2 linked regions of the Drosophila melanogaster genome follow. The protein of the gene in region 1 purifies or fractionates together with the protein of each later gene. This does not show direct contact. Each region holds a gene or a part of one and is shown on either strand. Other genes may lie near its edges.

What was found.
Region 2: the proteins of CG10802 (region 1) and Mvd purify together in Drosophila melanogaster (affinity purification with mass spectrometry, with the first as the bait; one large-scale study listed by BioGRID). This does not show direct contact.

The regions. Positions count from the first base shown.
Region 1 is NC_004354.4:3,480,493-3,484,988, reverse strand, and holds CG10802 (uncharacterized protein), read right to left. Parts: upstream 2,025-4,496; 5' UTR 1,945-2,024; coding exon 1,906-1,944; intron 1,844-1,905; coding exon 1,077-1,843; intron 1,020-1,076; coding exon 515-1,019; 3' UTR 434-514; downstream 1-433. Other genes in the region: CG14270 (uncharacterized protein), read left to right, coding at 1-280; CG10804 (uncharacterized protein), read left to right, coding at 4,041-4,130, 4,260-4,496.
Region 2 is NC_004354.4:15,746,672-15,751,167, reverse strand, and holds the start of Mvd (mevalonate diphosphate decarboxylase), read right to left. Parts: upstream 2,003-4,496; 5' UTR 1,917-2,002; coding exon 1,865-1,916; intron 1,804-1,864; coding exon 1,733-1,803; intron 1,337-1,732; coding exon 1,219-1,336; intron 1,159-1,218; coding exon 233-1,158; 3' UTR 1-232. Other genes in the region: CCT6 (chaperonin containing TCP1 subunit 6), read right to left, coding at 2,396-3,860, 4,261-4,397.

The DNA.
Region 1 (4,496 bases):
CACAGTGCCGGTAGAACTTCAGAATCCCGTGTCCGCCGACTATCTGCTAACCTTGGAGAGGGCGATCAATCAAAAGAAACTGCGTCTCCTTTCTCTCGGCATCTGCACGATCCTTTGGGTGGATCTATACGACGAGGACGACTGCACCTATCCGGCCATCTGTGAATATACCAACGTGGGCGTCTTCAACTTCCACGAACGGATCATCGATGTGGGATTTTGGAATCAATACTGGCGACTCAAATGGAAGATGCGCAACTATGATGTCAACTACCTGTGATCCCACACCACAAAGCTTAACGCTTTCGTTATCCTTAAGACCGTGTTTGCTGCTTAAGTCAATCGAGGGAGAATATACCAATATATGTATGTTTTTAGTACATGAACATGTGTTTACTTCTTTCTCATCGGATTACGATATGGCTAACTATTTGTTATAAAACTAGGCAATATTTATTTTATGAATTTTCGTAGCGCATACAAATATTGTATATTCGAACACTACAAAAATACTTCATTCCTCTGCCTCCAGTTGAGCTCCATTTGCAGGAGCGGCTTCGATGATCCTCTTTGGTTTAAACTCCGCCTCCAGCAGCTCTTGGCATTCCTGCAGTCTAGCCAAGTTGTTGATTTTTCCCTGGAAATTGTCCTCTTTGCCGTTTCCCTTGCCCTCGAGAATTTCCATAAATTGGGGACCGAGTTTCCCGACAATTTCTGGATCTCCGCGCAGCACCAGATGTCCTTTGGCACTGCTGCCAGCAAAAACGCTCTCGGAAACAGTGAGAAAGTAGAAGATTCCTTCCGGAGCCGCCCGCAAGAATGTGTTGATGAAGTCCACCTCGATGCCATCGCGTCGATGGAGAGAGAAATATTTCGGACGATCCTTTTTGGGCAAATCGCAGAGACGCTCGGCTTCGGCGGTGGCGTAACGTTTAAGCAGCTGCTGGAAGTACTTTCGACTGCCCTTCACATTTTGCTGTAGCTTCTGGACAAGCTCCAAGTGCTGACCGGGTCCACCTCTGTGAAATGCAGATGATTATTTACAGACAATTGGCCCACATCCTTGAGAGTCTCACTTTAAAGCCTGTGTTAGCTGCTGTTCGCGCTGAAAGACCTCGCCAAGCTTTACGAGCACCCTCTCGCCGACGACAAAGTGCACCAGAACATTCGCCTTCACCTTCTCGGCGTAGAGCAGCTTAATGCACTGCAGTTGAGAGAGATTCGTGACGTGGGTGCCGCAGCACATGTTGCTCTCAATGCCCTCGATTCGCACCACCCTGGCCAGACCCTCGTGATCCTTGGGCAATCCCCTGGGAGCTCTGGCATCCTGGAACTCTTGCGCCACCTCGGGATCCACCAGAAGCACCGTAACTTCACGGCCCTCGCGAATCAGATCGTTGGCCTGACGTTCGATGAGGTCCAATGACTCGCGACTTATCAAATGAGGCGTACTTAATTGAATGTAAGAGACAGTGGATCCCAGGGACCACGAGGTGGTATCGTACTTGAACTCCCTGTCGAACAGGGCGGTGATCAGGTGCTGTCCTGAGTGCTGTTGCATGTGATCCAGTCTTCTTTGGTAGTCTAGTGTCAGAAGGACTTCGGCATCCTGCTCGAAACTCGTTGGGGATTCCACAAAATGTACAGCCGTAGAGCCTTTTCTCTGGACATTCTTAACTGGAAATCCGCCTAAGGTTCCGTAATCGCAGGGCTGACCACCGCCCTCGGGAAATAGTATCGTGTCCTCGCAGATCACATTGAAGCCCTTGAGTTTCTCCACCTTTCCACTGGGATCTGTCCAATCCAAGGTGGCAAACTCGCTGCTAACGATTTTTGTCTTGAACTGCCGCAAATTATATCACAAATTATGTAATTTGGTACTTTGCGCTTCATTTGAGGGCTCACCTCCTTCAGGAAACTGTCCTCCTGGCACTTGAACACCATCGTTTCTATGAATCCACGCAATTCCCCGTTCACGTATCGAAATCATAAACAATTTATGAGAGGGTATGTCGGCAAGTGTTCATTAGGACGGCTAGTTCACCGCTAGTTCATTTCAGAGATGAACACAAATTCGCATTGAGGCAGTCACAGTATGGCTTTCATTATATTAATTTCATTGTGGCAATTAAATCATTTTACTGACACACACATTTCCCAATTAAAAGTTTGTATGGTTTGTGGTTTTGAATATTTTTTCCATTAGTTTTTGTCACTATGTGAATTGCAATCACTGCTAACACGAAGTTCAACATCGATAACACTTTCTGATGACCAGTTCATTTTTTGAAAAATCACTAACGCTTTTTTTTCTAACGGCACTTGAATTGAATGTTGCAATTGGCGTAATCAATCAAATGAATAATTCGATATATCTTAAAATTGAGTTACTTGATTTTGGGCCTTAGAGATGGTAAAATACAAAATAGCTGATTTCGTCGAAAATGTGAATTTTTTTTCGCATTATGTTTCTCCCTCTTTTGTTTACCATCTTCCCTCTCTTTTGGATTCGCGTGCCGCGTGCCGCGTCTGCGCTACTCTTTTCTTTTTGCTTCCTTGCTCTCCCGCTGTCGCCTCCCCCGTTAACCGCTATCCTTTTCGTCCTGCCATTCGGCTATTACGTCCTTTTGCTGCTCAACAGTTTCCTGCCAACGTCCCGTTACGACACAGCGTTACGTTATCCCAATCAGAATCACGGGATAGCGAAAGGAGCGACGGAATCGTCCTTTAAATAGGTTTTAATGCAACCACCTGCAACTGTTAATCCAAGGATAATCGAACAATAGCCCTCGCGCCCATCGCTCCCCTTTGTTGGACTCCCTTCCTTACCTTGCTGTTTGTTTAAGTGCGACTTCAATTTTTCGCGAGTGTTTGCTTCGGTTATATAAGTGAGATTTCAGTGAGCAAATAAAAAAGCCAGTCTAAACGAATATAAATCGTCTTTCAGAAGGCCACATACAAAAGTAATGCTCTCTGCACGTCGAAGTTTCCCAAAATCAGTAACCCAAATAGCATGCTCATATAGAGTAATAATTGTAGGTCTCCATGGCAGCGTTGTAAAGTTATTTTCCCGTACATCCATCGCCCTGGGAAACACAGCCTACACTAATTGCAGGGCCAAAAAGAAAGTGAATTCCATTAAGCTGCATTAGTAAGTGGGCGGAAAGTGTTCAGTGGGCGGTGGGTTTGTTGGGCAGGACTCATTTTGATTGATTTATTGTGTGGACCTAGACACGCAAACCACGCACATGTCCTGCTGTGGTGTGGGTTTTTCCTTTTGCATGATTTGATTGATGGAAAGCACACGGTCAAAAAAAAAACCAGCTATTTAAAATTGTTTATAAGCGGCAATAGACATATGTTCAAATATCCGTATCTAAATTCAGAGAACTGTTGTTCTCTTTATTGATTATGTTTAAGAAATCAATTAAATAGCACATTTTCGTTATAAACGGTTGTCAACAATCATTTCAGCGATTAAGTAATTAAAAATTCTAAATTTGTTTTTGAAATAGATTTTATATATATTACTTTTCAAAATATATATATATATATATTTTTTTTTAACTGAATTCATTTTCCATTCCCATTTTCCTCTGTGCATGCATGCTAAGTACAGTTATTAGTAATACGTATTCCACTAGAAAAAGCAGCCAGCGGCACTGCGATGGCGTCTACTACTAATGCACCGTTATCACCTGCAATTAAGCACTAACAAAAGCACCACCAAGCCATAGAAAAGAAAAGAAAAAAACAATAAGCTAAAAGTTAACTGAACGCGCAGCAAGGGGATAATAATAATGCGCGATTTATACATCCAACCAAAAAAGTATGCTACGAAAAATGTCCAATGAGTTGCTAGTTACACCAACGCAACACTAGGTGGCGCCGAGGAAAGTGAAATCAAAGGACAATTCGAGAAGCGGAAGCACGGACTTAGAGCACTTTTAGGCACCCACACACATACCCGCACCCAACAGCACCCACTCGTACATCTAAAAATACCCTGTAATAAATTGAAATAATAATAAAACACAATCATGGCCAACACAGCTCAGCTATTGCGACGCCAAAGCTCCCGGGATATAATCCTCAAAAGCCAGAAGAGCATCGATCAGCTGGAATTGCGGGTAAGTCCACAGGACAGGAAGCGTAAAAATGAAGTTAATAACAAAATAACCTATTAATAAAATGTATTCACTTTGGGTATTTCGACTAATCTTTTCGGCGAGATTACTGAAATCAGTTAAATTTTCTAGGAACTCCGAGGTCGCCTGGTGTCAAAGGAGCATGGCGTCAGCCACCATCACCACACATCATTACACCACCAGCCGCTCTATGGGGCCACCAATCAGGGCTTCATGTCCGACGCCTTCGACGAGTCCTCGGAACTGGAACAGGATCCGCCGCCCTTCGGATCCGAGGCTAGCACTTCGAAGGCCAAGGCCGAACTGGTGGCCATTGCGACTGCCTCTGCGGATCAGCAGGATATCGTC
Region 2 (4,496 bases), about 12 Mb from region 1:
ATAAATAAATAAGGTAAAAATAAATAAAGAGAATAAATTAAGTTGTTGCAATTGAGATATTCAAATTTAGTCACGTAATAATGAATAATCGTGCGCATTTTAAATGTTTATACATTGTGCCCCATTGTACATTTTGATAAATGTATTTTCGCATAAATATATTCTAAAAAATATTTCCTTTATAGAATTTCTGTGCCTTTCCCTATGCAATTCACTCTCAAAATCACTCTCATCACTTCAGCGGAAGTCCATTTATCAATAAACTATTATCAGCGCTTAATTCTTTTGGTCCTTCACCGACTTTCGTGTGGATTATATATCTGAAAGCATTTTTAGCATGAACATCTAGTGAATCCAACTTGCTGCTCTCAGCATCTTGCACTTTTGGAATGGGAAGGCCTCGCAAGTAGGTGCCACCATCCGCTAAATCATTGGGGAACACCTTTTGGATAGCGCTCAAGAGATGCGGAACGTGCTCCGCCAGGACATAGAGGCATGCATTTGGACCAGCATCGAAGGTGTACGCGGCATGATAGCTACCCATTCGTTCGTTATAATCGTGAACGAAGGACACGATACTGTGCGACACATCGTTCATGTAGACACACGGCGGATAGGTGTCCAGGGCGATGGCATGGAACTGATTCGAGTCCTTCATCGTTATCTCGGCGAATGCCTGAAAGTCATGGCTTGCGATGGCCTCCCTCAATCGGATAATCCGGTCGGGAACCACTTGATCCACGCGATGTTTGATCAACTGAGACGTCTTCACCGCCTGTTGCATGCCCCTTGTCGAGGCAGTCTTCTTGCGTGCATCGTTAACGACCAGGATGAGCACATGCATGTTGGGCCAGTGGTCGGATGGAGCTATTTGCCTCGCCACCGAATCGCTGCCATCATCCAGAGCTCCGCGATGCCACTGCACAAAACCGCCATACAGACTGCGACATGCCGATCCACTTCCTTGCCGCGCCACCGTCGTCAGCTCCTCATTCAGCGGTATATCGTAGAGTCGGGACAGGGAGTACACCAGGCAGGCGTAGCCAGCTGCACTGGATGCCAGTCCGGCGGCGGTGGGGAAATTGTTTACCGATGCGATGTGCAGCTTCCAGGTTGGCGGAACCTTCTGGGAGCCACTCGCCACAGCCAATCGATGAACTGCAAGTGCATTTTTTACATTAAAGTTCTATACTTTTATATATATAACTATAAACTCGCCTTCATTCAAACAGCGCTGCAGGCGGGAACTCTCTTCAAAAGGCACCTCCTCCCCATTCAGCCACATGCGATTCGTTTCAAAGGATTCCGATGCAGTCACTGTTGTCTTGGCGCAGAGCTTGGGAGATGGGATCAAGAAAGGTAATTGTTCAAGATTTTAAAAGTCTCGATAGATTGCTATTTCAAAAAATAAGTTAGAAATTACAGGATTTCGAACAACCCATATTCAAAAACCCATTTTTTTTAAGTTAGTAATTTCATTTTAATCTTAAGCAAATTCAGTGTCCACACAAATCGAAAGAGAGAGAATCGGTGAAAAGTGAAAATCCGTGAGATCTTCCCAAATTAAATAGAAAGTTTTCGTAATATTTACATTTGTGAGAAAATGAAAACTTCGACTACGCGCACTTTAAACTTAAACCATTATTAAAAGCGTCTAAGGTTTTTTAATTTTTTAATTACAATTTGTTGGTTTTAAAACGCAAATAAATATTTAAATATCTTTCATATTTACCTCATCGGTGCTCAGAGTCATGCTAATGGAATCATTGACGGGCAGAATTAGCTCTTCGTGCCGCTTTCCCCCTTTAAAGGAATGCATGTGCATAAGTTTATGTGCTTATAATATATGTATTAATTTACCCACAATATTTGATGAGCGCTATGTTTACGGGCGCCACACAAGTAACCGAAAACATGTTTGAAAATGTTTTTAATTCAGAAATTCACTTGTTTTCAGCTGCTTTCCAGCGAAAGCGACAACTGTTGACTGCGGTGTGACCACCCAGTGGACTCTTCAAATATACCATGTGGCCCCAAAAAATGTAGTTGTGGGTATTCCCCAATTACCGCCCATATTGAGGTTTGAGTCACGGCTAAATCGCTATTTCCATTTATTTTTAAACCAATGAAAGTTTGTAGTGAGTAAACATTAGTGTTAATAAAAATAGAAAATACATTAGCGTTAAGCATAGAGCTGTGTTTGGTTTTTGTATTTATTAGAATTGTATTTTAAATGTGAATACTTGCAGCCGCAACCATTCCGATTTCATGTGTTTCCAAATTATTTACGTGTTTAGTTTTCTTTTGGTTGTGTGTGGCTTTGAGAGACGCGGGTTGAGTAGCATGCGGTGCATTAACTTGGTTAAATTGAATGGGTCGGATGAAATGATGGGGACTAGCCCTTGAGGCTCGTCATGCCCGCACGCATCACCTCGTCGACGAGAAGCAGGTTGCTGGCAATGATCGAACAGGAGTTGAGGATCTGCTTCTTAACGATGTAGTTGTCGTAGACGCCCAGATCCACGGGCTTCATGGGCTCCCCGGTGGCCAGATCCAGGCCGACCAGTTCGGGACTCAGGCGATCCTCAACAGTCAGCTTGACGATTGTGTCCTGGGCATCGTAGCCGCTGTTCACGGCCAGCGTCTTGGGAATGACCAGCAGGGCATCGGCAAAGGCCTGCACTGCCAGGCGGGACTTGCCCTTGATGGTGTCCTTGAAGGCGACCAGCTCGTTGTACGCGCGCACCTCGAATGCTCCAGCTCCGGGCACCAGAGCCTTATCGGCAATGGTGTTGTTGATGGCACGCAGACCGTCCCTGATGGCGTCCTTGATCTGGGTGATCGTGTGCTTGTTGGGACCCTTGATCAGGATCGTGACGGACAGCGGGTTCTTGCAGTCCTCAACGAAAGTGTACTTGTTCTCGCCCAGAACATGCTCGTACACCACACCGGCGTATCCCAAGTGCTCCTCCTGCAGATCGTCAAAGGAGTTCATTGCAGTGCCACCGCAGGCCAAAGACAGACGCTCCATGTTGCGGCGCTTGGCGCGACGCAAGGCCAGGATGCCCTCCTTGGCCAGGGCGTCCAGCGAGATGGGGTCGATGCCCTTCTGGTTGATCAGGACGAAGGTTTTGTCGGTGCCATCGCACACGGAGCGCTTCAATTCGATCACCTTCTTCACACGCTGGTCGATGAATTCGCGCTCGGCGCGCACAAAGGCCTCACGCTCCTCGGCGGTCTTGTAGAAGAAGCCAGAGTTGACCTCGGCCTTCTCGTACTCCAGCGAGACATTGGCCGTAAGGATGTAGGCATTCTCCAAACGCTTCGGCATGTCCGGGTGGCGAGCACCATGGTCCATGACTAGTCCACGCACCAGCTGTGTATCGGTATCGGATTTGTGCTGCATCTCCATCAGCTCCACCATGTGGAGGTCCACGGGCTTGGTCTTATCGGCACTGGCAATGGTCAGCACGGCATTCACGCAGACGTCCGTAAGCAGATCGGCAAGGGCGGGATGCACCTTGGTCTTCAGACTTGTGTTGGCCACCTCCACCAGGTTCTTCTTGTTGATCTCCACGGGCACCTTGACCTGGTCGAGCACCTCCAATGCCTTGTCGCGTGCCTTCTCGAATCCATCGGTCATGATGCGAGGATGCAGTCCCTCGGACAGATAGATATCGGCCTGCTTCAGGAGCTCGCCAATAAGCATCACAGTGGTGGTGGTTCCATCGCCGGTGGAATCATCCTGGGCCGTGCTGGCCCTGGCAATCATAGAGGCAGTCGGATGTTGGATCTGCATTTCGTGCAGCAGGACATTGCCATCCTTGGTGATCTTGATGTCGCCGGCGCCAGAAACCAACCTGCGAAGTTTCTAGAATTAGTATGCTTGTTTCACTTTTCACGGCGCGTGAGTCAAGTCACGCCTCTTTCGATGCCACTTTCTGAATCACCCGGTGCTGGATATGCAGGTAAACACACATTTATGAATAAATTAAAGCCTCTGGGGGCATCTTTCATTTAAGATTCTTTTTGAAATTAAATAAAAACACCTAAATTCTAAGCTTTTTGCTCCAGAGTTGCAACATTCTCTTTCTTTCTTTTGCGATGACGCATGCCGCTAGTTCCAGTCTAACCTCAAACTTGCAGTTGCCGCAGCTGTGACCAAAACGTTTGTTTTTTCGCCTATAAACTAGCATTCTCACTCAAATTGCTAATGGAACGCAAAGTGAGGGATATTAGAGGCCGGTTTTAGTAACTTACATCTTAACGGTGCCCTTGGGTCCCAAATTGGTGCGCATCACATCCTGCAGTCCCTTGGCGGCACTGATATTGATGGCCAGAGCCTGGGCGGCGCGGGCAAACTCGGCCTTGGGGTTCAGCAAGCTAATCGAAGCCATCGCGTGTCGCAATTAAACAGAGATTTTCTTAGCTCGGCAAAATAAATCAATAGGAATCGGCACAAATCCAAGCACGCTTAAAGTTAGGCGAATCGAAGA